4 linked regions of the Tamandua tetradactyla genome follow. The protein of the gene in region 2 binds, or shares a complex with, the protein of the main gene of each other region. Links are inferred from orthologs where the notes say so. Each region holds a gene or a part of one and is shown on either strand. Other genes may lie near its edges. The genes, in order: NLRP5, TLE6, KHDC3L and YWHAG.

The links.
Region 1: the proteins of TLE6 (region 2) and NLRP5 are in contact, whole or in part, in a cryo-EM structure (PDB 8H94), measured with the Mus musculus proteins. The link is inferred for Tamandua tetradactyla from reciprocal best matches to the Homo sapiens genes TLE6 and NLRP5. Residues at the interface, in NP_444484.1 of Mus musculus: Pro147, Gln148, Pro149, Val150, Cys158, Gln159, Phe161, Leu162, Ile163, Gly165, Leu166, Trp167, Leu169, Phe170, Ser173, Arg174, Gln175, Lys176, Asn177, Ala247, Asp248, Lys249, Phe250, Lys252, Pro253, Ser255, Trp256, Leu261, Glu262, Cys265; in NP_035990.1 of Mus musculus: Gln185, Phe188, His283, Arg307, Glu326, Lys327, Lys329, Ser330, Ser334, Pro335, Leu336, Met444, Ala447, Glu448, Trp451, Tyr465, Tyr507, Tyr508, Glu511, Glu515, Asn517, Phe520, Phe522, Leu540, Met543, Lys544, Leu547, Val571, Lys574, Leu575.
Region 3: TLE6 (region 2) and KHDC3L share a complex: the UniProt entries of both Homo sapiens proteins name them as parts of the subcortical maternal complex. The link is inferred for Tamandua tetradactyla from reciprocal best matches to the Homo sapiens genes TLE6 and KHDC3L.
Region 4: the proteins of TLE6 (region 2) and YWHAG are in contact, whole or in part, in a cryo-EM structure (PDB 8XI3), measured with the Mus musculus proteins. The link is inferred for Tamandua tetradactyla from reciprocal best matches to the Homo sapiens genes TLE6 and YWHAG. Residues at the interface, in NP_444484.1 of Mus musculus: Phe137, Leu138, Ser139, Glu140, Ser141, Asp142, Leu144, Gln145, Leu295, Arg347, Asn430, Leu447, Gln470, Met472, Asn489, Asp510, Asn511, Thr512, Met530, Pro553, Arg555; in NP_061359.2 of Mus musculus: Lys50, Arg57, Arg61, Lys125, Asp129, Arg132, Tyr133, Gly174, Leu177, Asn178, Val181, Glu185, Phe201, Asp202, Ile205, Ala206, Leu208, Asp209, Glu213, Tyr216, Lys217, Thr220, Leu221, Ile222, Met223, Gln224, Leu225, Arg227, Asp228, Asn229.

What each region holds. Positions count from the first base shown.
Region 1 is NC_135342.1:3,519,103-3,525,977, forward strand, and holds the start of NLRP5 (NACHT, LRR and PYD domains-containing protein 5), read right to left. Parts: upstream 3,043-6,875; coding exon 3,030-3,042; intron 2,048-3,029; coding exon 1,994-2,047; intron 1-1,993. UniProt on the Homo sapiens protein: Component of the subcortical maternal complex (SCMC), a multiprotein complex that plays a key role in early embryonic development.
Region 2 is NC_135337.1:79,425,913-79,433,648, forward strand, and holds the start of TLE6 (transducin-like enhancer protein 6), read right to left. Parts: upstream 3,016-7,736; 5' UTR 2,894-3,015; intron 2,338-2,893; 5' UTR 2,329-2,337; coding exon 2,254-2,328; intron 1,602-2,253; coding exon 1,516-1,601; intron 1,080-1,515; coding exon 1,034-1,079; intron 1-1,033. UniProt on the Homo sapiens protein: Component of the subcortical maternal complex (SCMC), a multiprotein complex that plays a key role in early embryonic development.
Region 3 is NC_135331.1:129,252,955-129,259,669, reverse strand, and holds KHDC3L (KH domain-containing protein 3), read right to left. Parts: upstream 1,883-6,715; 5' UTR 1,679-1,882; coding exon 1,510-1,678; intron 1,304-1,509; coding exon 1,124-1,303; intron 824-1,123; coding exon 702-823; 3' UTR 541-701; downstream 1-540. UniProt on the Homo sapiens protein: Component of the subcortical maternal complex (SCMC), a multiprotein complex that plays a key role in early embryonic development.
Region 4 is NC_135349.1:10,368,742-10,376,601, forward strand, and holds the start of YWHAG (14-3-3 protein gamma), read left to right. Parts: upstream 1-4,843; 5' UTR 4,844-5,031; coding exon 5,032-5,118; intron 5,119-7,860. UniProt on the Homo sapiens protein: Adapter protein implicated in the regulation of a large spectrum of both general and specialized signaling pathways. Binds to a large number of partners, usually by recognition of a phosphoserine or phosphothreonine motif.

The sequences.
Region 1 (6,875 bases), on a different chromosome or scaffold from region 2:
GTTATCATGAACACCTCTTTTATGAGGGGTATCTCCCGAAACAGTTTAGAGGTAGCACTCACTGGACAATTGTTATGGACTGAACAACCACCTCGAGAAGATAATAGCTATTTCCTGCATCCTCCCATTTTTTTCTTTCTACCCCAGATCATGTCCTACTCCAATGAATTGTTATTAACATTATCGTAGCAGATGGCAGTTAGCACAGCCAGTTAGACCAGTGCACTCATAGTCCCGAGGCTATAAGTACAGATTCTACATAGATAATTCAATGAGAGGGAATATATTTCTATGGTTACAGGTACCACAGGCTCCCAGATCAGAGTAACAGCTCCAAGTTGAAGTTCAGATATGTCCCTTTGGACAAGTGACTGAACCTCTCTGAGTTTCCTTTTCTGGAAAATTGGAACTAGAGTACCTAAATTTCCGAGGGTTTCTGTGAGGTTAACAAGCAAAGCATTCAGCTAAAGGACTGGTGTAGGGCACGCATGCGAATTTTAACCATAATCTGGTCTACTAATCACATTCTGGAAGCAAGACTCCAAGTGAAGGAGTATTCTAGGTAAAAGGGTGCTCAGATTTAAGCTGCTGCTGGGGTCACATTGAGATTTTAGAATTAATTGTTTAAGTTTCTGTGTCTGTGGGTGAGGCTCTTTCAACGATTGGATTAAGCAGTTAAAGAAAGATTATTTAAAAGTGAATGAATTTAAGATTGCCATATAGAAACACTTTTACATACACACAAATTGAATAAATGTTGCCACCAAACAATTCACTGAAGAGGTTAGAGGAAAAATAGCAGAACGATGAAATAATAAGAGCGAAACCTCAGTGGTAGGTCAAGAAATCAGTATGTTCTGAGGAGAGTTCGTTTATTTTTAGGATTAGATGGTTGAGAAACTTCCTTACACAGAACTAAGAATAAATAAAAGTTGGAGGCTAAAGAGAAAGAACAAAGAACATTTCTAAGTAACCGTCTGAAGTGACTTACATCATCTCATCTAATCCTCACATAAACATTGAGATATAAAGAGTGTTATTGACCCCACTCGACAGAGTTGAAAGCCAACATTCTGGGAAGCTATATACTTGCTCTCTGTTTCATGAGAACACCTTTAAAGAATAGTTACCTGATTTTAGCATTCTTTCTTTCCCATTCCATCACAGAGCAGGAACTGACTGAAAAACTCTAAGGACACGTGGATCTAATTAGAACCCAGGTGGTGGCATTACCTTAAAATAGACACTTCCTCTTGTGAAATCTGGCAGGGTGGAGTGAAGGACATTATTCCAACCCAGGAATGATGTAGGTTGGAGTGATATAAATTAGAATTGGGTAGTCAAGTTTACCTTCTGAGGACAAATGACTTACCAAAGCTTTCACTTTGCCTCTTTCCTTCCTTCTTCTATACTTCCTATCTCTCCTGGTACATCTGTCTCCACAGGTGTCTTGAATGGTTCACTAGAAGCAGGCAAGATTAAAGTGCTTGAAATCAATTAGATCTAGGTTCGAATATTGATTCCACCACTTATTACCCCAGGAAAGACATTTAGTTTATCCACCACTGGGGTTCCTCACTTAATAAAAGGAAAGATACCCCCATGTTGCATAGCCCCTCAGTAATGGTGAATCAAGTTGACCAGTTACCATTAGCACGATTGATACAGTAACACCCTCAGTCCCGGGATTATCTGTTCTTGACCTGAGTTATAGCACCCCTACTTTGCCCTCCATTTCAGACTTAGAGTCTGGAAAGGGTGAAGGGCTTACCCAGATTCCCACAAACTCATGTATTTCAAAGGTGGACCTTTTGAGCACAATGGGGAAACGGGACTTCACTCATTCAAAGGGGTCTTTGAACCCCTGTCTCTGAGTAGCCTAACAGGAGGCACAGGGGCATGTTACAGGGCCCAATAAGTAGGCTGTAATCAGCAATGAAAAAAATAGGGGGGAACGAAAGGCATTGGGAACAAGAGAGGAGAAAGTACCCACCGACTGGATTCTTCACCTCCAAGCTCAAATCCCACTTCTGGGCCAACTGGCAATCTTGGGTGGGAAAAAAAAGGTTAGGCCCAGCCCCACACCCACGTGGTGAGGGTCAGTAGGGAATCCTGAGCCAGTGACGTCATCTCTGGTCATTGGATGCAACGGGCTCCAAATGGCCATGCTCAGAGTAGAAGTAGAACACCTGCTTTCTGCACCTGCAGGCTCTGAGTCTTCCTATCCGCCTCTCCCACCCCTCACCCCACTTGGTGGTGAGGACACTCCTTGTACACTTCATACACCTGTGCCCAGGACCTCTGGCTGCATACAGCCCTCCCCTGGTTGTCCTGGGAGCAATAATTCTGTGTGTGTGAGTGCGCGCGCACGTATGGTGGTGGTGGGGGTTCTTTATATTACAATAAATCGGCTTTTACTAACCATTCCCTCGAATTATTACTGCTGTTGTTTGTCCAAGCTATTATCTACATAAAACTCTCTTATCTTCAGTCCCCATGAACTCCTAACCCTGACTTTTACTTCTGGTCTGTTTGGCTCATTTATGCCTCCCGTTCTTCAGTATCAGCTTTCCTCACGGTCCTGACTCTGAACCAGTCCTCTTAGATTATACCACCCTTGATGTTGATGTTCCCCTCGAGCACATGCTGATGCTTCCCAAATGGCTTCTGGCAGGTGCCTTCTCAGCTCCAGACCCAGTCTTCCAATTATCACCTACGGCCTGCGGTGGGATGCTCCACGTGCATGTAAAACTCAACATATCCAATTCAAAATGTTAAGTTCCAGTGCCCAATACAGGTCTGGTACACAGCATGCATTCTTGTTTGTTATCCAATGAGTGTCTCCGCCTACATTCTCTCCTTCTCAATTCCCCACCTCAGGTATCAGAAACACTATCCACGTGTGCTGAAGTCTGCACGTTAATGCTTAACTCAGAGGGGAGTTCGTTGTAGTCCTAATTTTAATCAGTCACTAAGTCCTGTCAATCATTTCATTAAATATATTTGTTACAACCTGAAATTGGAATTACCTGGGTAATTCATGATTGCTGCTTTAAATTGGAGAGATAGAAAAAAGTATAAATGAGAAATCAATATCACTCCTTCTCAGTATATATACAAAAACATACACGTATATAGTCCCCTAACCTTATGACATATATGCATGTGTATGTGTGTTCATAAATAGATACATTATCAATCAATATCATAATCTTACAGAATTGGAATAGTGGAGTACACAATATTAGTTATTCTTTTTCTTTTGGCATGGGCAGGCACTGGGAATCAAACCCAGGTCTCCAGCATGACAGGCGGGAACTCTGCCTGATAAGCCACCATGGCCTGCCCTAGTTTTCATTTTATAAATAACTTTCTTACTGACAATAGTCTAAAATGACTAAATGATGTGTATAATATCTTACCGTTGGTTTTACTAATTAGCATAATTATCTTCTCATAGTTGTACCTTTAGATTGTTTTAATTTTGCCACTGTTATAATGTTGAATGGAGATCCTTGTATGTAAATATTTATCCCCTTTTAGTCTGACTTCATCAAGACAAATTCTTAGAGTGGAATTAATAGATCAATTGGTGTGAAACAACAAAAATTTATTTTCCACCATAAAAGAAATATTTATATAATCTCTTTTGAAAAATTATATATTTTTTCTCTAAGCTAAGAAATTATATACAATTATATATAACAGCTTAGCTTAGAGAAAACCATTCTCAAAATTTTGTTATATTTCTTTGATGCATTTATGCCATATCTAACTTTCACTTTATTAGATTCAGTCATATGGAATGTACACAAATGAATGTGCTGGCTAAAAAAATCTACTTATTTTGTATTATAAATATAACCAAAGCTCATTGTGGATAAGTTGGAGATTGCATCATCCTGAGATTGCCATATGAACATTTTAAGTTAACTTTTATCACTATATAATTGCATCAGAAACGTGTGGGCATCACAAGTTATGTAAAGCTTGATGAATTATAAATTACCACAAGATGAAGAAGTAGAGTATGACTGTTATCTCAAAAGCCCTGCTCATGCCCCCTCATGGAAACTACTTCTGCACTTCTCAAAAGATAGCCTCTAGGGTGGCCCAGGTGGCTCAGTGCAGCATTCTCGCCCGCCATGCTGGAGACCTGGGTTTGATTCCTGGTGCCTGCCCACGTAAAAGAAAAAAAAAAGATAACCTCTATCCTGATTTCCAATCACACAGAATAATTTTACCTGTTTTTGAAGTCAGATAAATGGAACTGTAGGGTGCATTCTTTTGTACCTGCCTGTTGAGCCTGTGAAGTTAATCCACACCGATGTGCATTGCAGCGTTTCATTCATTTTCATTGCCGGATAGTATTCAATTGTGTGAACGACCACCATCATTTTGTATATCATATGGCTGATGGACATTTGGATTGTTTCCACTTCTTGTATAATATGGATAATGCTCCTAATAGCATTCTCATACATGTCATTTGGTAAACATATTTATGCATACCTGTTGAATATATAGTAGGAGCTTAATTGCTAGGTCCGAGGGCACAGATGTTTTCAATCCGTTTCATCCTCACAGTTTTTCGAAGTAGCTGCTCCAATTTATACTTCCAAGGGCAAAATATGGGGGCTCCAATTATTCCACACTCTTGCCAACATTTGCTGTGGACAGTCTTTCCAATTTCACTCATTTTGGTGGCTGTGTAGTGGTTTTGACTTGCTTTACCTGATGGTTGGTGGGGCTGAGTAGTTTTTATTGGACATGTGGATATTCTCTCAAGGAAACTGTTTATTCAAGTCTTGCATTCATTTTTCTATTGGGTTGTCTGCCTTTCTGTTATTAATTTGTAGGAGTTATACATATTTATTTTGAATACAACTCAAGGATATATACTGAAAATATATATATTTTTCTCAATCTGTAACTTACCTTTTCTGGTGAATGCGTTTTTTTTTTTGGAAAGGAAATATTTTCTTTCCTTAGGTCACAAACATCTTCTGCTATGTTAACTTTTAGAAGGTATAATGTCTTTCCTTTTGTATTTACATTTACAATATTCTTGGAATTGCTTTTGTATGTGGTGTGAGATAGAGATTCAGACTTGTTTTTTCTGCGTGTTTGTCCATTTGATTTAGCATCATTTGTTGAAAATTCCATCCTTTCCCCAGTCCTCTGCAATGTCAACTTGCCATAAATCAAGTGGTCATGTTTATGGAGATCTGTTTATGAACATGGCCTCATTGATGATAGTGGACCAGGATGAGGTTCTATAGAACGTCCAAAGAGCTCAAGATTCTTTTGGATGATAATGTAAACATAAGCAAAAGAGTTAATATAGACTTTCAAGCAAGATAGTGTATATACACTTCTGTCCTTCCCAAGTCAATGTGAACTACTTCTGATCCTCTTCCTGACATTTCTGGTAAGACTGGAAGGAGTGCTTTCGCCATACCAAATCCCATGGCTCTTTTGACCTATTTAAGACGGCACAGCTGGCACAGCAACTGCAATTGGGGCTTCCACTTAGTTAAGCTTAACAGGAGCCCACTGAGCCCAGGACTCACCTGGTCAATTAAGTAGGGATGTAACAGGGACCACCTCCCCTGGATCCTTGACGTCTTGAGGGCGGCACTGATTTCTGGCATTCCACCTGAGATGCTGTCTTTGCCTGGGGGGGTTAGTTTCCAGGGCTTCTGCTGGGCCTTTCTCTACCATTATGGCCTTTACTCCAGAGGTCAGGGAGCCGATGGAATGACCATCTCCGTTACACACTCAGGGGCCGTGAAGGTGACCCTCTTCAGACCCCCTGGACCTACTGTGCCAAGGCCTGATTTATCCCCTGGTGTCCACATGCCTCCATCCAACCTGGGGCTTTGATGGTACCCTCTGTCTCATGATGACGGTGTTGACTCAAATGCTATATCCAGTAGTCCTTGAATGCCCTGACTATTCTATTCCCAGTGGGTTAGCCTAGTGGATGGCCATGTGGAAATCACTGTTGTTCACACTTGATGTGGTCTGCAGGGTCTGCCTCAAGGGGCCCTTCTATCAGTGGCTTTGGGTCTGGGGACTATATGGAAATCTGTTGAGAGACAATGGTTTTCACAGAGCTGCAGCTCTGGCACGAGGCTTCTGCTCACCCAGTCCTATATCTTCTTTGGTAGTTGCCCACCTACTTCACCCTAGCAACACTACAATCTCTTTGCCACCACCAAGAAGGGTGTCTGATTCTGTAAGTATGTCTGGCTACCATTCTGGCCACTTTGCCCAAAATGATAATTCCATCTACCTGGCCTCTACTAAATCATGCTCTTACCATTCCCTTGCTGCCAGGAAGCCTGTTTCAAAGGTTCCCAAACCTCACCGCAGAATGGAATCAGCTGAGCAAGCCAAGAAACCCCTATGCCTAAGCCACACCCCATTCCACTTAGGTTGCCTCTCTGAGGCTGGGAACCAGGCAAAGGTATTTTAAAGAGCCAGGTGTAATACAATACGCCACAAAGGGTAGGAAGCACTATCCTACTTCTAGCTCTTCTCGTGATGCCAGGAACTCCGTCACTGGTAAATTCCCTTAGTGCCCTCACAAAGCAAGTGACTCAGGGCCCTTTTGGGGAGTACAGTCAGTGGTTGGGTTCTCTGGATTTACACAACAGCAAGCCCACCTCTGAACCTGCTGATTTCAGATAAGGAAGTTCTGACACCTCTACCTTGCTCACTGTGGACCATCTCAGCAGAGCACTAAGGTCAGCTCCAGGTGAACTTGCCCAGATGTAAGTTGTGTATCACAGAGTCTGACCTTGATGAACCTTTATTTTCATCCACATCTTAAGAATAGGGTGGGGGAAGGGATGGTGAGGATCTCAACT
Region 2 (7,736 bases):
AAGTGGTCAATGGAGGTGAGTAAGAGTCTGGGGTGTCAGCAGCACATGTGCTTCTCCCCAGCTGTGTGACCCTGGACAAATCACTCTGCCTCTCTGGTCCCTACTCTTACCTGTTATACCCCGAGTTAATCAGGGAGCCCACTGGACTTCATTCTCAACAGGAACTGAAGGTCAACATTCTCCCTTTGCCCAGTCCACTCTCCATCCTCCTTTCCTCGCGCTCACTCCCTTCACTCTAGTCACAGAGCCTCTTCACTGTTCTTCCAACACACCAGGCTCTGTGTTGCCTCAGGGCCTCTGCACTGGCTAGTCCCTCTGCCAGATACACTATTCCCTGTTTTTTCTAGGGGTGGCCGACTCTTATCCTCCATGTCTCATCCTGATTAACACCTCTTCTGATAAACCCTTCCTGCTACCTTAGCTCAAGAAAATCTTTCCTTTCGCCCCTGTTACCTGTTTGTGAAACTGGTTTCTCTATTACCTTGTCTGTCTCCCCTACACCTAGAGTTGTGCTGTCCATCGAAGGAGCCACTAGCAAGGGAAACTATTTAAATTAAATCAAGTTAAGAATTCAGATCCTTAGTTGTATCACCACATTTCAAATGGATTGCAGGTACCAATTTGAACTCTGTAACCATGGAACATTCCCATCGTGGTGGAAAGTTCTAGAAGACTGCCCTGCATTAGCGGGTAGATTCTCGAAGAGCAGTGCTCCAAACATCTGCCGTATCCCTGAACATCCAACCTGGTCTGAACCATCACTCACTTTCAATATGGAATTTCTAGTTTTCACTGCAAAGTCAGTAAAGGGAAAAACTCACCCAGAGAAGCGGGCTCCATTACTCGCTTGCCCACAGTAAGCAAAAAATAAGTCAAGGTGGAAGTAGTCCCTGAACAGGATTCCTGAAGCTAAAGAGGTCAGCCCTTCAGGGCCCAGGGGCTGCAGCAGCCCCCTGTTGGGAGCCCAGGTACCTGCACCATTCCCCCCTCCCCTTACATCACCTGCTCTGAGGGATTGCCGGGTCTGGCTCACCAAGCAGTAAATGTTCTCCACCTGTGCCATCAATTTGGGGGAAAACCTGAGTGGGGGAAGAAAGACTGACTAGAAGCAGCAGCTCAGGAGGCCCCAGAGTATGAGCCCCCCGGCCCCTCAACTCAACCCCAACTGCAGGGCAAATATTCACTCCAAGAGCCAAATTTACGGTGGCACCCAAAAGCTCAGTGATCAAGAAAATAAGATTTTAATGCAATATTTTCCAACAGTGTCAAATGTAAGGTTACCCATTTCGTGCTGAATGCAATATTAAAATTTTAAATAAAAGCCAGAATCAGTATTACTGAGTTTTCCTTTTGCCATCTGCTCCATTCTGGTCCCCCAGATCCCCACCCCCCCACCCCTACCTCCTTTACTGACCCAGAGGCTTCTGGGTCACCCATAAGGGCCCCAAGGATAGGGACCAGGAAGGATCCTTTCCCCTTTTGGTGGGATGCAGGGCTGCCTCAAATCGCCCTCACCTGGAGAAATGTAACTTGAATTCTTCCAGTTTGTCCAAAGCTGTCAGCTCCTGAGGGTCCTTGGAACTAGAAGACTGAGTTTCAGCCTGGATTAAAAAAAAAAAAAAAAAAAAAGTCAGTAGAACTGAAGAAGATTTTCAGGCGCTCAGACTTTCAGGTCTCATCAGCATCTCATCTGATGCCTCCTTAGCGCTACCCTGAAGTCCCCTGGGATTTTGACCCACCCCCGTAGAGATAAGGAAGGTCCTTCTAAAACCTGAAGTTAATTGGCTTTCTCTCTCGGTATTTAAGTACCAGCAGAATAGCTTTAATTTTTCCCCCTGGCCCACAAAGTCTAAACTATCTATCATCCAGCCTTTTGCAGAAAAGTTTGAGCACCTCTGCCCTAAACTGCTAGAAAAAGTGGGTTCTCGGAAGGGCTGGAGGAGGGAGGCTTCTGCTTGTAAAATATGAACTTGGATGATGTAGTCCTGTGTTTTATCACCTGTGTCATCAGAAGTCAATTTAATTAAAAAAGAAAGTGTCTTGACACCTGGGACTCCAGGTGCCAGTGATGGGTGAACACTACCAGCTGGGAGGCATGGCTAGCATTAGCCCATCTCACAGGTGGATTCACAGATCGGGAGCAGCAGAAATGAATGAGGCCTTATCCCCCTAGTTCCCTAACTTCTGAGACACCCCCCCCCCGCAGCTCCCATGCTTGTCCCCCCTGCTGATGCCAAACCACGTCTTCCTCACCAAGGTTCCCGCTGTCTTGACGTTCACGACCCCATCAGAGTGCCCCTGGGAGTTGGGTGGGCTCTGAGAGGTCATCTTCAGACTCTGAAAGGAAAAAGGAGATGGCAAGTCCCCTGAGAGCAGAAATCCCAGCAGTTCCAGGGGGAGAAGCAACCCCCATCGTGTCCCAAGGCCTCCTGCCCCACACACCATTGTCTCTCTCCAGGACACAGTCCTGTACCCCCAACCCCTCCCCTGACCTCCAGCTTCCTCACAGCGTTCCTAAAACCTATATTCATTCATCAAACGCTCTCTGGTGCCTCCAGCTGTCCTGATTAACAGTGGGGACCCAAAAAGGACTGGGCCCTGGGCCTCACCCTATGATGTGGGATAGGACACACAGACTCTCTGCCCAGAATACGAACCAAATAAACCTCGGTTTTGAGATAATTTTTCAAAGCAGGGAAGATCTTTGGAAGTGGGTTTTGAAGGATGAGTAGGAGTTAGCTAGCGGAGATGGGAGGAACTTAACAGGCAGGAGCAAAGCAACCTCTCTCGCCTCTAATGACTCATAAGGCCCCAAGCCCCTTCCTTACTTCGCTGTGTCCTTCAAGGCCCTTCCAGCCTCCTCCCCAGTCAGGAAACTTGGCCACCAACTCACCTCCCCAAGGGTGGGGGCCCAGGGCAGGAGCTGTAGGGACGGCACTGCAAGGGTCGGTCAAGTTCAAGCCAAAAGAAAGCTTCTCCTCCCCCTGGGGGCCATTTGACCTGACCCGGCCCCGCCCCGGCCCGCCCCGGCCCCACCCCGGCCCCGCCCGGGCCCCGCCCCGCCGCCACCTGGTCCGTGAAACTGGTCAATGAATGAGCAGCAGCTGCACGTGGGCTCGGGATCCGCAGGCGACCGCCGGAGGCGCTGGCCAATCGCGAGGTCGATTGCCCACGTGGGCCGCGGCCGCCGTGCCCGATTGGTCGGTTTGCCGCGGTCGCCCGCCAGGCTGTCACTCATAGCGCCGCGAGCCTTCGCTTAACCCTTGCTGTCCCGCTGCGGGAAAGAGTGGCGTGCAGAGCCGCAGGCTGTTTGGGATCCTGGCAAACGGTGGGGCTATAAAGGGGCGGGGGGTGGGGGTGGGGAGCTGGGGTTTAGGGGTCAGAGGGTGAAACTGGGGGAAGGGCTGGGTGGCCTAAGGTTGCATTATCTGGTAAGAACCCTGATTGCTTGGTCCGGCCAGGGGTTAGCTTATGAGGGGCTTGGGGTTTTCAGCACCTCGAGATCAAGCCCCTTTCAGGAGAGAATTTAACAACTCCGGTTTATCCCCGGCTTCCTGTGAGCCAAACTCTGGGCTAGGCGTTTTATCAGTGAATTTTCCCAACTGCCCTTCCTTGGAGAAAGCGGAAGAGCAGATGTCTCCAGGCTGGCAGGCCAGGTTGAAGTCTACGGTGGGAAAGAGCTGTGGGCGTTCCAGGCAGAGGGAGAAGCCAGGGCAGAAAGCCTGCAGCCGTTGTTGGGAGCGTGAAAGGATGCAGCCTGCTGTGTACACAGTTTGGCCCTGGCCGTTCTCAGAAAATACAGAATTACCATGTGAGCCAGCAATCCCAAGTCTCAGCATATATATATATATATATACCCTCAAACTGTTGAAAGCTGGGACTTGAACAGATAGCTGTGCTCCTAGCGATATTTTTCTCAAAAGCCAAAAGGTGGGAGCCACCCGAGTGTCCATCAACAGATGAGTGGGGAAACAAAATGGGGTCCACGCAGGCGATGGAATATCATTCGGCAGTAAAAAGGAAGGACTTTCCAGTCTCCGCTAATATGTGGCTGAAATTTGAAGACCTCATGTTGAGTGAAAGAAGCCAGATGCAAAAGGATAAATGTTGTATGGCTTTGCTTACATGAAATAACTAGAAGATGCAAATTAGTAGGGATAGAAAGTAGAGTCCGGGGTTAGGTGTGGGGAATGGGGAGTGAACGCCTAATAGGTGCAGAGGTTGAGGGGGATAGAAAAGAGTTGGTAAGGGCTAGTGTTGATGGTAGAACAACACTGCAAATGTAATAAACATAGATGCATCATATACTTGGAAAGGGTTAAAATGAAAATATGTGGATGTTACCATAATAATTTTTTTTTTAAAGCTCTGAAGTGGGGAATAACTGGACCACTTCGGTTTGGACTGGATGGGGGCAAAAAAGAAACTCCAGAAGGGATGATAACAGGAGGTGAGGACAGAGGGGTGTGTTTCAGGGAAGCCTCCTGTGGGTATAGGAGTGGGATTTATGGGGTTCAGGAGTTCTGTTTTGGGCCAATATTAAAATGCCTATTGCAGATGGTAATTGGTCTGTCCAGAGTTCTGCCCCAGGGCCTTTGCACTGGCTTGCTCCCTCACCTCCTACAGCTCTGTGCTCAGAGGTCACCTCCTCAGTGAATCCTCCACTGAGGATCCCTATTAAAAAAAACAAAAACAAAAAAAACCAATCCCCTTAGTCTCCTTTTTTTGCTTTATTTTTCTCCAGTATGATTTGGATTGGAGCTGACCTTGTGATACATCACAGTGGTTTCACAGGATGGCTCTAAACCCGGCCTGTGTTCAAAATCAATGTAATGCTGGTGGGATTCTCATCCAGAGCCATCACTACCACCCCTGGTTCCTTCTCCTCACTCACCACACCCTTCTAGCACCCGGAGGTTATGATGTAAACATGTAATATTGTGGGTTCTGTGGCTGGTGTATGGAGGAGAAAGTGAGAGCTGTTTTGTAGGAGATACAGAAAGCCTTTCACCCCCAATCCCTCAACCCGTCCTTCATTGAAGTGTATTTTATTTATGGACCAACTGCTAATTGCCTCCCTCTATGCCTCTTCCCCCAGCACATCCGTTTATCTACAGCTGCACTGTCTCAAGTGGTAGCCACTGGGTGCATGTGTCTACTTAAATTAAAATGAGATAAAATTAAAACTTCTGAGTTCCTCAGTTGCACTGGTCAGTTGCAAGGGCTCAGTAGCCATGTGTGGCTGGAGACTCCTAGACTGGATATTTTCATCCAAAAATGTTTTCAGCCCCCCAATTCCACTGAACGGTCCTGATCTGAGGTTCTCAAAAATGAAAGGTGGAAATATTAAACTGCCCCATGTGGAGAAGTCACAATCACTGGGGATGCCAATTTGATGGACCAGTCTTGATCTTGATCTTGGGGCTTGCTCTTATGAAACTTATTCCTCCAATGGGAAAGCTCAGCCTACCTATAATTATGCCTAAGAGTCACCCCCAGAGAACCTCTTTTGTTGCTCAGATGTGGCTTCTCTCTGTAATCCAACTTGGCAGGTGAACTCACTGCCCTCCTCCCTACATGGGACATGACTCCCAGGGGTATGCATCTCCCTGGCAACGTGGGACAGGCCTCCTGGGATGAGCCGGGGCCTGACATCATGGGATTGAGAAAGGCTTCTTGACCAAAAGGGGGAAGAGAGAAATGAGACCAAATAAAGTCTCAGTGGCTGAGAGATTTCAAATGGAGTCAACAGGTTATCCTGGAGGTTATTTTTATGTATTATATAGATTCATAACATGTGAACCACTGATCGTACAATTATAGGGGATGTGAATATATCTCAATAAAATTACATTTAAAAAAAGTAGGGCGGGCCACAGTGGCTCAGTGGCAGAGTTCTCACCCGCCATGCTGGAGACCCAGGTTTGATTCCTGGTGCCTGCTCATGTGGAAAAAAAAAGGGGGGGCGGAGAAAAGGAAGAGCCTTTTCAACAGATGGATCTCAGGTAAGTGGCAAAAAATGAATCTCAAAAAAAAAAAAAAGCAAGCAAGAAAAAAAATCCTGGGTGTCTGCAGAAATCCGCAGATTTTATAGTAATCATTCAATTGCCACTGTTTAAAAGTCTCTTTTTGGGGATCATATCTTGGTAGCTTAACTTGGTGTGTTTTCCACTCCTGGGTCTTCCTTTGATGATTTCTTGGATTTTCCAGGCTGGCCAGCAAGGAAGGATGACACAGCAGACAGGAAGGGAGGAAGCAAAGATTTTATTCCTGGCTTATGAGTTTTTAAGGTTTACTTGGAAACTCTGGGCCTGGATGACAGTTTTGAGAGAAAAGGCGTTCACATTCCAAAAGCTTTGGAACTTTTGCTTTCCCAAAACCACCACAACAAATAAAATACAGAAAGCCTCAAGGTTAGGAGAAGACAGGACTGATCAGAGCCTGAGGCTGGAAAAGGTTCCCTGGGCTGGAGGAAGTAGGTATCAAATAAAAAAGAAAAAAAAATCTGAACTTGGTAAGGAGAGACTTTATGGAAAGAATGATTGCAAATGGGGAAGGGACAAGATTAGCCACTCTCTCCCTATTGTAGGAAAAGCAAATTTATTGAGATTACCTGGACTTGGAGGTTTGCCTTCTGCCTCCTGGTGGAAGGAGGCTTAATGAGAAATTAAATTCATCACTGAAAATCAAAGGCAGTCACATTTTGGGCACATGTGACTTAGGTGCCAGACATTACTCCAAGGCCTTGAAATATGGGAGCTTGTTTAATTCCTCCATGGACCGTCATGGCCCCATTTTAACGAAGAGGAAACTGAAGCACAGAGAGGTTAAGTGGCCTACCCAGGACCACACAGGTACTAAGTGGCTAAGTCAGGATTTGAACCCAGGCCATCTTGCTCCAAAATGTTGCTCAGAAGCCTCACACCATAACACCAAGATCCAATTTGGTTTCCTCCACCAAACACCCCATCTGATGGCCTTAGATGAGACTTCCTCATGGGCCCAAGTTTGGAGAAAGTTACATCCATTCCAGGTATAGGTTTTCGAGCTTCAGGACCCAGCTCTCCTTTCTAAAGAAACCCAGATGCATTAGTTAGCTAACCGCTGCATAACACATGGCCCCCAAGCTCAATGAGCTCAAACAATATGCATTTATTATCTCAGACGCTTTCTGAAGGTCAGGAATCTGGAAGTGACTTCGCTGGCTCAAAGTTGGACCACTGAATAGCTGTCCATGTTTGAAACTTGCTTTCTCTCTACAGCGCAGCAGACATCCTGCCATCCAGAATGCAATTGAAAAATCTCTTCTCAGAGAGGCCTCTCCCACCCCCAGCACTTCATCACTCGTGTGTTCATAATTGGATGCCTCATTCCGTGATGTTTTCTCATTCCCCAGTTCTTTTTGTCTTGTTGGGTAAGTGCCCAACAAATGATTACTTAATGGGTAGTGGAATGCACAGTACTTGCTTCCATGGCCATACATTGCTTTATGTAATTCTTTTCCTCGGATGGCCTTGGTTGCAGGTGGCATCGTCCCACAGGGGTCGTTGCGTGCCCTCTGGATACCTGTCCCCACTGGGGTTGGGCAGGATGCTGCAGAAGGGACCACAGGGCCTTTGATGGGGTGGGGGTGGGGCAGAAATCAGGTCTTGAATCTCCTACATCTGCCCCCCTCTCCCAGTTGTACGGAAAAGCTCAGATTCTGTCTGAGTCTCCCAGGGCTGCCGTAGCACAAT
Region 3 (6,715 bases), on a different chromosome or scaffold from region 2:
CCGAGGGAAAGGTCGCTAGTACTGTCTCGCTCACCTCAAGCCTAAGGCAAGTTATGGTAACCCCGGCAAGACTTAATTAACGAAGTCAATGGGGCAGCCCTGGCTCTTTCGCCCACAATTTCACCCACCAGGTCAGGTGCCAGGGCTAGGAAGTTACTTGCCATACCATGGTACGCCCGGGTGGGTCTTCCCAGTCCAGCAGGGCCCCAGCCTCAGGGCAGAGATTGCAATCAGGTTTTTACCATTTCAAATTTCCTCGAGTAGAACCACGAGCTGCTGGGGGCAACTGGGACTTGGGTTTCACAGCAAGGACTGACTCAGTACACCCTAGAGGCCTTGTATCCAAGCAGCGCCAGCTGCATACTGTTAAAAATCACAAGCAGGAGAGGTGCATGACGGCAGAGGTGGCCAGGAACTAAAAGGTCGCACCTGCCTCTGATAGTGGCACAGAGCAGAACTTGAGTGCTGGGGGAGGGTACCTCCCCCTCTTCTTCTACCTTCTAATTAAAAGACGCTTAGGGAAATTTGATTCTTTATTAGAACTCTTTAGATTCGGGTTCGCAAACGTTCAACACTGGGGAGGTCACACCTACACCATTTCCCTAATTTCTAGGGCCGAAGCAGGACCTAGAATAACAGGTCTCAAGAACAGGCTTTCAGTTTAATTTTTGCTTGTCTCCCTTCCCGGGGCCGAGCTGCCATCACAATCTGGTAACTGAGTCTTGGGCAGGTGCCTTCTGAGGCTGCTGCTTCCCGATCTCCTGGGCGGCCGCTTCTCCAGACTGCTGCTTCCCGGCCTCCTCGGCAGGGGCCTTCTCTGGGCCTGGAAGACAAGCAGCATGAGGAGGGTGCCCCTACGCCCCCATTCCCCCTCCCCAAAAGTCCAGTCATCCATACGTGCAACGAAGACGGGAGCCGTGAGCTGTTCCTAATCTGGAGTCTACCACGGAATCTCAGAACTGGGGCCCAATTTGGTATTCCCGATTCCTTGCCAAGAGGAAATCCTCTCCCGGATCCAGTGGGAGGGGGAAACCGCTGTCTGGGCCGCGGGGGACTATCAAGATCCCTCCCAAGGAACCCAGAAAATGTCCGGGGCACCCCTCTCTGCTCCCCAGCCACGTACTTTGAGCCCGGAGTTGGCGGTGATAATCTGCTAAATTCATGACCAATCTGGCTACGTCGTGCTGGTAATAAGGCCGTCCAAATATCAAAATCTCGGCCTCGCCGCCGGGGTCCCACCGGTTCACGTGAAGCAGGGTCTGGCTCGCACACTCGACGTGCGGGATGTGCTCTCCGCCCCGGCCTGCGCAGGGAGCAGAGAAGCCGTGAGGAGCAGGGTGGCTCCTGGGGACTTGAGGGGAAGGGGGGCGAGGGAGACCATGGGGGCACAGGCTTGGGGGCCAAGAGCACTGGACGGGCTTTCCCAGGGCCGGGCCGGATTGTGTGTGTGTGTGGGGGGGAATGAATGGGGAGGAGGGCATTATGGCGGCCACACCCAAGCCTACTCACCGAAGATCTCTTCTACAAGCCAGGCCTCGACGTGAACTGCTCGTGGATTCTTCAGGAACTCAGGGTGGAACCAGTAGGGCGGGTTGCCGAAATTACCGAGCTGCTCGAAACGCTGTCCTTCTCCCTGCTCCAGCTGCACGAGCGTCGGAAATTGCTTGGGAGCAGCCATGCTGCGGCCGGCCTCGCGGGCAGCGAGCGCGGGAGGGAGAACCGAAGGGCAGCACTCGGGGATGGGCCGCGGAAGCTGAGCCTGGGCCTGGGCCTTAAATCAAGGGCTTTTGGCAAGCCCCTCCCCACCCCGCGCCCTTCCCATTGGACCCTAATTCCAGCAGCCCGTATCTTTCCGCGGCCGTGCGAGGGAGCTGGAGCGGCCCGCGGCGGCTGCGGCTGGCGTGCCTCAGGTCTCGGGCCGCGCGGGCTGGGAGCCCCGGAGCGGTCACGTGGTGAAGCTCGCCAGGTTCCGCGTGCGCTCTCCGTGGGGCCATTCGGTCTGGAAACTCGCCCTCTTCCCAGAGCCGCGGGAAAGGAAAGCCGAGCTGCGAGTTTTAGCAGCCAGCTGGAAGTTGCCAGCTGGAGCTGCGAGTTTTAGGAGCCAGCACAGGTCCCCACCTCGATTCTCAGGCGCACACGGTGGACATAACCGTGGACTCAGAAAGGTAGAGAAGAGCGAAAATGGAGAAAATATTTCAGAGTGAAGCAAAGTGGTATTTGTGGAGATCCGGTGCTACTCAGACAGTTCCCGTGGGATCAGCTCATTCCTGAGAGGTTGACATAATTTTATTGGAAAACCTAATTCAAGAAGCTGGAAAAAGCAAAAATTTAAGCAGTAAAAACAATGTCCAAAGGTTAAAGGCAAGTCTCCCTTTTCTCCTGAACCGTTGCCACCGAGTACCGGCCCCAGGGACCACCACTGTCCAGCTTCTCCAGTAACATTTAGAGACCAGTTGAGCACAGGTAAGCCTTAAATACGGCCACACAAACACCCAGTAGCAGACGGTCCAAGTAATTTGGACACCAGGAAGGTCGACTTGAAGCCTTTTTTGACACCTCAGTTCTCTAAATAACGCTAAATATTTCCATTTCTTGAGTTTCCTCTCCAGCTTAAGGCATTATCAGTTAACCACTCACTCAGGAAGGTGAAACTATAGCTCCGGAGTCAGTAGTTGGGAAGTACTTATCAGACCCAGTGGTGAGAGGTCATCAGAATTCAGAGGCCTCCTTCCTGTACTGTTGGTGGGAGTGCAGGAAAAGCTGTGGATGTTTTAGGGTCAGACTTAAGCAGAGACCTAAGTAGATAAGTATTTATACATAAATTCATTCAAACGATCACAGGATGGAGTGGTAGACTTCTGTGGGTAGGTGGAACAACTAGATGAGTGTACAATATAAACTCAAGGATCTGGGCTCAGTAACCACCTCCTCTGGAGGTGGTGAGGTAACACCAGCACTGCCATAGCAATTATAAATCGAAATTTGAGGTCCCATCGGTGTCACCAACACTCCAGGAAGCATCCCAGTGAAAATCTCTGATCAGATGCGTTTCTTTTACTATAAGGCTATAGGACTGATACCATTGTTTCACAGCATAGAGGATATTGGCAGTTCTAAACATGTTCAACTTTTTGTATGAATAAAGATCTTTCATGCCCTTAAAGTTTCAGTATTGAATATATAATATATAAGAATAAAAACGTAGTAATACTAATTGTGTTAAAAAGGAATCTGCCATTTAAATAAAATCCTAGAATATGCAAGCCTACAGGTGAGTGGTTGCCTGGGGTCAGGGATGGAAGGAGACATGGATTGAAAACCTCTGCACTAGGAAACTCTTATGGAAGATGGGAATGTGTGGTATCTCAACTGCTGTGATGGTTTCATGGTTGTATTTATATGTGTCAAAAATGATTAAATTGCACACTTCTTAATATGTGCTGTTAATTGTACTTCAGTTATACTTCAAAGCAGTTAAAAGAAAAGAAATCATACATATGATGTTTTATGTTCTTGTAATATTTTAGATAAGAAGGCTATTAAAGAGGCAGTGTTGCAACTCCAATTTAAAATATGCAGTTAAGTAGTTGATATAGATTTGTGGCTATAAGATGAAATCTTAATTTACAATTAGCATTGGACCGCTGAAGAGAACTTAAGGTCCACCACATTAATAATATTAATTTGATATGTAGGTATTATTTAGTAGTTGGGAAGGCCTTATTTGTTAATAGATATGAGCAAAGTACTTTGCAAAGCTCTTTGACATGTATGAAGATGTTTAGTTAAATTAGTCAGTAGAATCTGGTATCATTCAGAGGACATGAAAAGTAATTTTGAAACTTTCTAGATTTTTTAAAGAGAATATTTGAAAGTGAAACTTGAAAGCCTTAAGGAAGGGCTAAAGGTTTGGTTTTTATAATTTTTAGAAATCAAATATTTATTTTCAAAGAAGCCTCTAGATACATTTTCGGGTGCACAGAAACCACTCCCAGGGCATCAAAATACACACACACACATATTTATACTAATCTTTCATTCCCTTCCCCAGTTTACTTGCATACTTCAGATCGGGTATCCTCCCAATCTCATCACATCATGATTTTCTTAGATAAATATTCAGCGTTAACACTTTGTGAATATTATTCTTGGCAGCATATAAGTTATTGATTTTTTTTTTCTCTTGCACAAAATTTTGCTTTTCTTGCTGTTATTGATTGCCTTTTGGTTCAGATGCTGATTTTTTCTATGTACTCCTCCTTTATTTCCAAACTCTCTCCAACTGTATAAATTTCCCCTCAGTACTTTCAAGTACCTCTTGTCAGCATTACTTCTGCAATTTTCTTAACTGCTCCAATCCAAATTAGCTGCTCTCCAGGGCCAGCATTCTGGGGCCCTCCTGTGAATTCCCAAATCCTATCTTTGACTTGGATCCTGGGCTCAAATTCTCTAGTTTTTTTTCTGTGGAAGAATGCATAATTTTGAGTCCTTACATCTAGGAAAAAAATTTTTTCTATCCACATAGTTATTTGGACATTTAGCTGGCTATAAAATTCTGGGTTAGAAAAAGAAAATTCCCTCATAATTTAGTGCTTTGCTTCATTTTCTTCTAACTTCAGTGGTCATTATGGTCTTAATCTTTGGGAAATATTCTTGAATTATTTTGTTAATAGTTTTTTCTCCTTCTGTTTCCTCTTCTCTTTTTCTAGACTTCCTGTTATTCAAACATTGACCTTCTGATAGTCAATATGTTTCAGTGTTTTGAGAGGAGAGTTATATAGGGGGCAAGGGGGGAGATTGGAGTTGAATTAATGGTAATAGTGAGCTAAGCAAAGGTGAAACTTATTAACTCCAGAGAAAGCGAAAAGGTTTATCAGCATAGGAAAGTATTTATAGTATACTGCGTTGTTCAATTATGAATAATATTCATGTAAATACCCAATATTGTTTTAATCAAAATGACAACAAAACTACTGGAAGGATCAGTGATTTGGAAAAGATGGGTAAGGATGGTGGAGGAGATAGTTCTCCTCTTTACCTGTTGGAAGTTGAAAAATCAAGGGCTGGTAATCAAAGTATGTTACTTAGAGTACTGAATGGGAGTTTGGGGTAGAAGAGAATCTTCTTTTAACGGGTCTTGAAGGACTATTAAATCCTCATAAAAGCACGTATAACTTTTTCAAAAAAAGATTAAAAATTACCTATACCAAATTTAAAAAAGTTATGCCTGTGAGAAAGTTGGAAAGTTAATATTAGCTATCATTTCTTTGCTTTGAGCTAACTAAGTTACTGCAACAGCACTGTTTTTTACTTTTCAATAAAATTTTTAATGTTTCATTGAGAAAAAAAAACATTGGCCTTCTGGACTGATCCCCTATATGCTCTTTTTTCTTTTCTTTTCCATTTGTTTCCTTTATGCTGTCTTGGTTGTCTGGTAATCATTAAGACTTGGGAACTAAAAAGCTAATTGGATCAGAGTGATGCCCCAATAAATCCCAGAGTGATCTGAACAGTGAATAAAAATGTATTTGCAAAGTCCCCTTCAGGGAATGGTGAGAAAGGGGGAAAATTCAACTTCCCCAAGTTGAATTCTTGATATTCTCACAAGCCGTGTGGACAACCAAAGCTATAGCTGAGCTCCCAGTCTTGGGGTTTGTTCATATGAAACTTAACCCCACAAAGGATAGGTCAAGCCTACATAAAATTAGGCCTAAGACCCTAGAATGAGCTGAGACTTAGCATCAAGGGATTGAGAAAACCTTCTCGACCAAAAGGGGGAAGAGTGAAATGAGACAAAGTGGCAATGGCTGAGAGATTCCAAACAGAGTTGAGAGGTTATCCTGGAGGTTATCCTTACGCATTAAGTAGGTATCACCTTGTTATTCAAGATGTAATGGAGAGGAGTCAAGATAGTGGCTTAGCAATGTGCGCGTTTTAGTTTGTCCTCCAGAACAACTACTAAATAACCAGAAACAGTACAGAACAGCTCCCGGAGCCACATCAGTGACCAAACACACAGCGTACCCCAGTCTGGACCAGCTGGACCGGCTGCAAGCCTCCCCAAAACCATGAGTTCCCCAAGCCACGGCGCCTGGCGTCCGTCCCCCACAGGTGGCTTCCCAGAGGAAAAGGAAAGAGATTCTAAACCTGGTCAAGTGGCGTTCGCTCATTGGGCTCACAGAAAAAGGAAAGGGGGAGGAAACAGGTTTTAGTGGCTGTGTTTCTACGGAGACTTGGCAGCCTCTGGATTCAGCAGCGGGACTTCTCAGGCTGCAACTGCCTCAGGCATAGGCAGAAACAGGCTGTTTTCAGGGCTGTCTCCCACCTGTGCATTCCCCAGGGGAGGGGTGAAGCCCAACTCAGGTGGAATCCCTCTCTCAAGGAATTCAGACCCCAGGGCTTGGCAATTTGAAGCCATTAAAATCAGCCTATAACCTCTCCTCTGTCTCCACCATGCCCCCAGCAGGGACAGTCTTCCAAAGTTAAAAGTGCCGCAACATCTTTTGCTGGTGCAACCCGCAGGCAGACACGCCACATACTGGGCAGGATAAGAAAAACAGAGCCCAGAGACTTCACAGGAAAGTCTTTTAACCTGCTGGGTCTCGCCCTCGGGGAAAACGGATGCAGGTGACCCCTTCCCCCTGATAGGAGGCCAGTTTAGTCCGAGAAAACCCAGCTGGAGTCTATAATACCTACGTAAACCCTCCTAAGGGTG
Region 4 (7,860 bases), on a different chromosome or scaffold from region 2:
GGGCTCAGCTTGGAGAGGGTGCCTTTTGCCCCTGCCTGTCCTTAGGCTCACAGCAAGGATTTGGTGTTGAGTGTCTGTGCCTACCTCTTGTCCCCTGGTGCAGCCTGGGCTCCTGCCTGCCTGCTGTGTCAGCACCAGTGTTCCTATTACATGTCCAAGTGGGATGTGTACTCTGCAAGCATTAGTGCTAGGCTGACTCGGGAGAACAGCCAGCAGGAGGAAATGCCAGCTTCCCTACCCCTTCTAGTTGGCCCCAGGAAGGCCTCATGGCGGCTCCACTTCCCCTTTAGGCAACCCAGCCTGGCCTTCTTCAGAATTAGTAGGCAGAGCCTTTCAAGGTCATCCCTGTCAGACCACTGGTGGTGGAAAAAGCTCCAGGAGAGCTTTGAAAACATACAGATTCCCAGGCCCCACACTTGGAGACTCTGACCCAGGCATTAGGGGGCCAGGCTGGGAACCACACTCGGCATTATACTGGAGTGATTGGTTTTGTGGTCCTGCTTATCCACTGCTCTCTGATCCCTGATTCCAGGTCCTGCCCTCTCCAGACTTGGCCCTTGTCAGTACTGGACAGCTCCAGATGATGAAGAAATTGCTTCCTGGATTGAGGTGAAATTGGTGGGCTCTCTGCAGCTTGGATTCCTTTAAAACCAAACATCTGCCTCAGCCCCCTCACTATGAGTCTCCCATGAATTATTCTTCCTTTGTTAGAGTTCCAGGTCTCAAAACAATCACTCCAGAACCCTCTACCAACTCAAAGGATACTGCCACTCATTTCATAGAACAGGTTGGGGAATCTAAGGTCCAGTTTGGTGACGCACGTAGCCCAAGCAACTGGGTTTAGGGAGAAGAGTCAAGCCTAGTTCCTCTGCTCTGAAACCTCTGTCTCTTGAGAATGCATGGTCTGACTCTTTGTCTGAGACAGCGGCCCACTTTTTATGGTGACCCACATTCCCTTGGTGGGGTGAATTTTGAAGTTATCTCTTTTTTGTAGAATGGAAAACTTAGAATGTAAAGATGTATTAAACTGTTCATCTTTCCTTTCCCCAGCCCAATCAGTTTTAAGAGCTCTTAAACTCACATTTTTAGAGTGAGGCTCTGGAGTTAGAGAAGCCAATTTGGTGACAAGCAGTCAGCCCCAGGTGACTTGGAGCAGAGAATTTCCCTGTCAACAGGACCTTCAGGCAGCCACTGAAGAGGATGGGAAGACTCCAAGGCAGGACAGTTGGAAAGCTTTTGCAAGAGGCTGGAAGATATTAAGAAGTAGTCCTCCTGCTCTTTTTACAAATAGACTCATAACCTGACACCTGGAGAGGTAAAGTGACTTGCCCAGGACCATCCAGCAAGATCAATAGTAAAGTCGGGGCCCCTCCACTGCCCTGGAATAATCAGGAGGAGATACAGCCCACTGGCATTTCCCTGTCATCCTCTGCTTCTGAATTTGTCCTGTGCTCTGCCCCTGTTGCAGCCCAGCCTGTTAGGGCTATGATGGGGAGGTGTTCCCAGAGGGCAGGATGGAGCATTGCAGGTCTGCTTTGGAAAATGCTACTCCTGCTGCTGCTTCCGCACCAATCAGGGAGCTTTCCAGCCGCAGGAGGAAGCCAGGAGCCAGGGGATAGGGCTGCAGTGATTTATGAGTGCACAGAAACAGCAGGACACTAATGTACCTGGCTGGACTGCTTGTCTGCCAACTCAGCCAGAGAGGATGCACTTAAAGGTCATATTCTCCCTCATTGGAGATGGGGACAGAAGGTTAGCCATACAAGGTGCCTACCCAGTGTCCCTGCATTAGGACTGTCACCCGAGGGCAATGCCTCTCCTTTCCTGAGCAGATGCCATGGGGTAGATCCTCATGGCCCCGGCAGGAAGGGCAGCCTTGCTACTGGGAATCAGGAAGATCTGCCCTGGCTTGCATTCAGGCCCTGCCAAAGGTCACACAGCCCCTCTGAGTCTCAGTTTCTCTCTCTAAAAAACAGGGACAATTCTGAGTTTCTCTACCTTTGGAATTTGCCCCTCTCTCACATCTGCAGGCACAGACTCCTGTTACCACAGATAAAGAATTCTAGTAGCCTTCCATTTTATAAGAGGCACATGCTGAATCTAGAACCATGACTCATCCTGGATGGGTGGGGCCCTTAATGCTTTTTCAGTTTAATTTCTCACTTTAAAGGTGGGGAAATTGAGACATGGAGAAAGGACAGGCCTTGCACATGTTGCTGGGGACCAGGCAGAAGCCAGAATAGTAGTTCTCCACCTGTCTGCTCAGGTTTCTTTCAGCAGTACCAGGCAGTGGAGACGGAAGCCCAGATATTAAGCTATTCCCTGCGGGTAATGTCGCCCTGCCTCGGAGGCAGTCCTCTCAACAGCCAGAGGCTGCTGGGCTGCTGTAGCTTTAAACCCAGAGCCTCAAAAAAATCCAACAGGAAAGGAGGGGCAGGGCCAGTTCCCCCTGCACTGTTGGAGGGAAGCCTCGATGTAGAGACTGCAGATGTCATTCCTGTTTGGCTCTCGAACATCCTTTTCTTTGCATCTGCTTTACTTTTTCCAACTAGATTTGGCCTGAGCTTTTTTTTTTTTTTTTTTAAGCATATTGGTCTGGTGGGGGAAGGAACTGAGGGGAGAGGTCAGAGAGGCAGGGAGAAATGTGCCAGGAAGTTCCCAAGATTTAGCATCTGGGCCTGGACCAGTGACACATTTAATCCATCTGTGGACAACCAGGGTTGGGTGTAAGGGCTCATTTCCATGGGTTCGTGATGCCCAGACTACAGTGGTTCATGCCAGGCTGCAGGGGGGGGCAAAAGAAAGAGAGGAATGACTTGGTGAACCACTCATGCAAGAGACAGAAGGAAGTGGGAGGGTTTATTCACCAACAGGATTGCATTTTGCTGGGTTGGTGTGGTAAGGGAAGAGGGGCCAAGGCAGATGCTGTGTTGGAGGAGAGTCAGCTATTTTCTGAGTCTCTCTCTCCACTCAGTCCATCTCTTTACCCTCCTGACAGAGCAGTCTTCCTGAAGTGAATTCATTCATTCATTCATTTCCTTATTTCCTATGTCCCATGTGCTTACTAAGTGCCAAGTACTGTGCCAGGCACCGAGGAGTCAATGGTGATGAAGCCATCAAAATGCAGCTCTGATGGTTTTCTGCATCCATCTCAGGCATCCTATTTATTTCAGAATAAAGACTTAACTCCTTAGCCTGGCATTCAGGGCCCCTCAGGTTCTGACTCCTGGCTCCATCCCCAGCTTCACTGCCCATCACCTGAGTCACCAGACACATCAGATTCTTTGCCTGCCAATAAATATGCCAGGAAGGAACCTGCCTCTGAGTCTTGCTGCCTCTGCCCTCTGCCTGCTTTCAAATCCTACACATCCTTTAAGAGCTGGTCGGAAATGCTGCTTTTTAGAACCTCTTCCTACTCTTCCTATCCAGCCTGGAAGAATTTTTTATGAATACTTACAGTACTTAAGACATGCTGAATTTCTTGAAGGCAGGGTTCCATGCTCTCCTCTTCCAGCATCTAGCAGTGTCTGGAATATTCCTTCACAGAATCTCTTTCATTCTAGGTTCACATAACCCCGCACTTCATCTCCCTACTTTATGTTTCGCTTCGTATCACTTTCCAACATAGTCTACATATTGATTATTTATCTTGCCTGTTTTCTGTTTCCCCTTTAGAATGCTAAGTTCCATGTGGGCCAGGAGCTTAAACTGTTTTGTTCACTGCTGTACCCCATTGCTTAGGACAGTACTTGGTACATAGTGTGTGGTCAATAGATAGTTGTTGAATAAATGAAATAAAGAAAATTTGCAGTCAAAACTATGGAGTGTGTGGGAGCTACCCGGAATCTCAAAAAGGGAACCCTATGAGCTAGGATTTGTCGGTCTGACCTCAGCGTGTATGTCCAGACACAACCTAGTCCTAAGCATAGCCTAGGTAGGCTCTTGGTAACTGGCAGTGGAATCTGCAGCACTCCATCCTGGAGAGGAAGAAGGAGCCTCCAGGGGTCAACCTGCACACAGCTGCATCCTTTTTGTAACTTGACTGGTATGCCGGGCCAGTATTTGTCTTTCATGTTTTCACCATATTTTTACCGAGTCAGGCCCCAAAACCTCAGGGTGGGGATGGGGAGCTGGCTCCTTGGAGGAGGGGGTGACAGTCCCCCACGGTTTGGCCTCTTAATTCACCCATCCCGCGGGCAGATCCCACCCTGACGGTTTGGCTCTACGATGGAGGTACCCTCTCAACCTCCATGGCCTGCTGCTTCACCTCGGAAACAGGGCCCAGAGTTGAGGCCCTTGCCCCTTCCCTCGTAATTTCCCGGGGAATAGGGGGCGGGGCCGTGAATCAGCACTCACTCGGGCAGACGCAGCTCTCATTCCCGCCAGGGGTCCCCAGCGGCCGCCAGATTTAAGTCCCCTCCCCATCCTCCTCCGCCCGCGCGCTCCACCCGCTGGGAGATGTAGTCTCCATTGCCCCTTTGTCCTTGGTGGGTCCAAAAGATCACCCCGCCCGAGGGTGAACTACAACTCCCAGGGGCCCACGCGCTGGCGGCCCGGCGGGGCGGTGGTCTGGAGGGGAACGGGTGGGGGTGGGGGTGTCTGGTGGTGTTGGGGCGAAGGAACGGGGGTCAAGTGGAGGAAAAGAGGTGCTGGTGAGCTTCGAGGAAGGAGGGGACTGCCAGAAGAGGTGGGGGGTTGGGGCGGTGAGCTGAGTGGAGGGGGGACGCGGGAGCAGCGGAAGGAGCCGGGAGGGGCCTGGGCGGGGGCGCGCGGCGGGCGGAGCCCGTGCGTCACGCGGCGTGGGCGGGGCCGCAGGGGGTTGTCCGCCCGCGGCACGCACAGCCGCCGCAGCCGCCTCGCGCCGGGTCCCGCGGTCGCAGCTGGAGTCGCAGCCTCCGCGCCACCGCCGCCAAAGCTGGTCGCTTTGTGGGTCGGTCCTTCCGGCACACGGGCTCCCGCCGCGCCGCAGCCGCCCTCCGAGCCGTTCAGGCCGCCTTGGTCTCCTCGTCCGGCCCGACCCAGCCCGCGAAGATGGTGGACCGCGAGCAACTGGTGCAGAAAGCCCGGCTGGCTGAGCAGGCGGAGCGCTACGACGACATGGCCGCGGCCATGAAGAACGTGAGTTTCTTCTCCCCTCCCCCCGCCTCGCCCCAACCCTTTCGGAAACGTGTACCTTGGCCCTAAGGGCTCCGGGACCTGTCGCCTGTCGCGACTGCAGGCTCGGTCCCCCCTTCTCGCTCGCTGAGGGGGTATGTGGAGGGTCCAGATGGCGGTCGGGAGCTGGCTCGTGTCCTCTGCGCGTTCCCGAGGGTCGGAGGCGCTGCCTGCTCGGCCCTACCCGGGCTCAGGCTGGGGCGGGGTCTTGCGGGGCTGGTCACGGGAGCCGGGTCTCCGGGCCCCCGCGTACTCCGGGTCCGCTGGGGACCTGAGCGGGGCCGTGCGCATCCTTTGTGCCCCACTTCCCCTCCTCCCAGCCTAGGGCGTGGGGGCGGGGGACCGCATGGAAGCGGTTCCTCTTTCTCTCCCCGGTGTCTGGGCGGCGCCTTTCCCATTCACTCGGCAGGTCTCTTTTTCTAGCCGCCCCCCCCCGCCCCCCCGCTCCCTCCATCTTCCTCTTGCTTTCCTGCAGATCCTTTAGAACCTTTCCCAGAGAAATTCAGGCTCTCTTGAAATCTTGGGGTCAGTGGTGCAAAATCGTCGCCTTCTTGCTCATGTTTGACTTAACAAAAGGCTTCTCTTTCTCCATTTCCCAAAGCAAGTCCTCTAGGCTTTTAGGAAAGGGGACCGTCTGTTTCGTTAGCGTGTTCTTGTTAATTGTTCGAACATGCCGTTTCCATTTTTTCCTAATGCTTTGCATTGAAAAGAGCAGATAATGGCTTTAAAATAAAGGTTGTCAATTTGTGACATGCTGTTTTTTTTTAAAATACAGCCACGCGTCTGTTGAAATTCCTATAAGTTGAAAAAAATTCTTTCTGATCTGATACTGCAAACAAAGCGGTGGTGGGAGGCAGTATCAAGTCATTCCAGAAGATTCTGCATTTGTCATATTGCAGAGAGCCTAGACTGGGTGGAGGCTGGGAGGAGTTGTTTTAAAGGGGAAAATGTCTTTTTTTAATTTGCTTTGTTACATAGACTTGAGCCTTTTTTTTAATTTTAATTTTATTTTTTTTAAATAAAGCCAGTGCATCCTTAGGCTAATGAAAAGAGAATACTGTCCTCCAGTTGTCGCATTTTGTCTGGGATACAGATGCCTGCCTGTATTGCACCATTTTGTCAGTAACATTACATTTACCTAGTGAATGGTCAACCAGTTTAAGATTAAAGGAAGGAGGAAGCTTTGAACATTATTTGGAAAAAATTAATGATTTTGCGTCTCCCACTATCTTAATATTTAACTTCCCGTCTTATGTAACAAAGGTATTAAAATGCATCTCCAGTTTGAAATGAATGTAAGAGCGTACCTTGCATGCTAAATCTTTGTGATGAAACAATATAGATATAGAGGTTGATTCTTGAGTAACTACGTTAGTTCCCAGAAGATGACAGTGCTGATGCCTTTATATTTAAACAAGCTACATTAACAAAAAAAATTTTTTTTCTTATTAAGGAGGGGAATTCGATTCTGTGAATTGAGGGTTCTGGTGTATTAATATGCTATATTGCCACAGCTGCTATCCTGTAATATTTTAAAGCTCAAATGACACAAATTGCACTTTTAATAGATATCAGAATTGAAAATGTCTGTTCATGTTATTTAGATTATTTTAATTTTTCCATATCTCTAGTTTCACAGGAAAGCCAGTGACCTCGCACCTATATCCATAGCAACCCAGTGATGTCACACACAATGACACAGAGGCTGCAATGCACCTAAGGGCTGGTAGGGAGTTTGCAAATGGCATTTGTCCAAGGTAATGCAGAAATTAGTTGATAGTGGGATTGACTTCATCTTTCTCCAGATAAGAGCTCTGCAATAGAATGGCCCTGTGGGTCCAAAAATAATGAGGTATCCTTACATATGCACATTAGTGACCTCTAGATAATGCTTTATTGAAGTTCCTATCTAGTTTTCCCAGGAAAGTTTGTAAGATACATTCATATTTTTACACACTCATTTCACCTATTTAAGTAATTGGCCGATTATGGAATAAAAACAAATTTTAAAACGAGTATATTTTATAATTGTGTGGAGGGGGCTGCATACTTAGGATTATTACAGATACTTGGTAGATTTTGATAAAAACTCAGAATTATGGCTGTCCTCCTGGGTCATTAGATGATGAGACCACATTACAAACGAGTTATCAAATTCATTTTAGATGGATCTTTGGGAAAATTGTCTTGCTGTATTTTTACTTCTCTGACAGAGTATGGAGAAACTTAAAACCTTTTCAGTTATGGTGACTTTGACCCTCACTTTCCTAATCTGTAAAATGGGGCAATACCTGTTAGAAAAAGTTTGTGAGGATTTAGGTGCTCAAAAATGGCAATTACTTGCAAAACTTTGTTTCTTACTGTATAAAAGTGATCTCATCATGGAAAATTTGGAAAATACCATAAGGTACCAAGTAAATACTTAGTGGTACCACTCAAGTGATATATAGGTAGCCAAAAGGCTATCTTAATTATATATTTTATAAAATCTTTCTAGTGGGGTCAATAGGCTTTAAAATTCTTTTTATCTTTTTTCTATTTTTTTCTTCTAGCCCTCCCAGGAGACTAGATCAATGGCTATTATCATTAATGGAGTATTGACACCTCTAGAGTCCTCAGAGGTGGAATTTTGCCAACCATTATTCTAAGTCATGTGGCTTGAATTGTTCTCTCTTGGAGGAGTGGAAAGAATAGAGTAACAGTTTG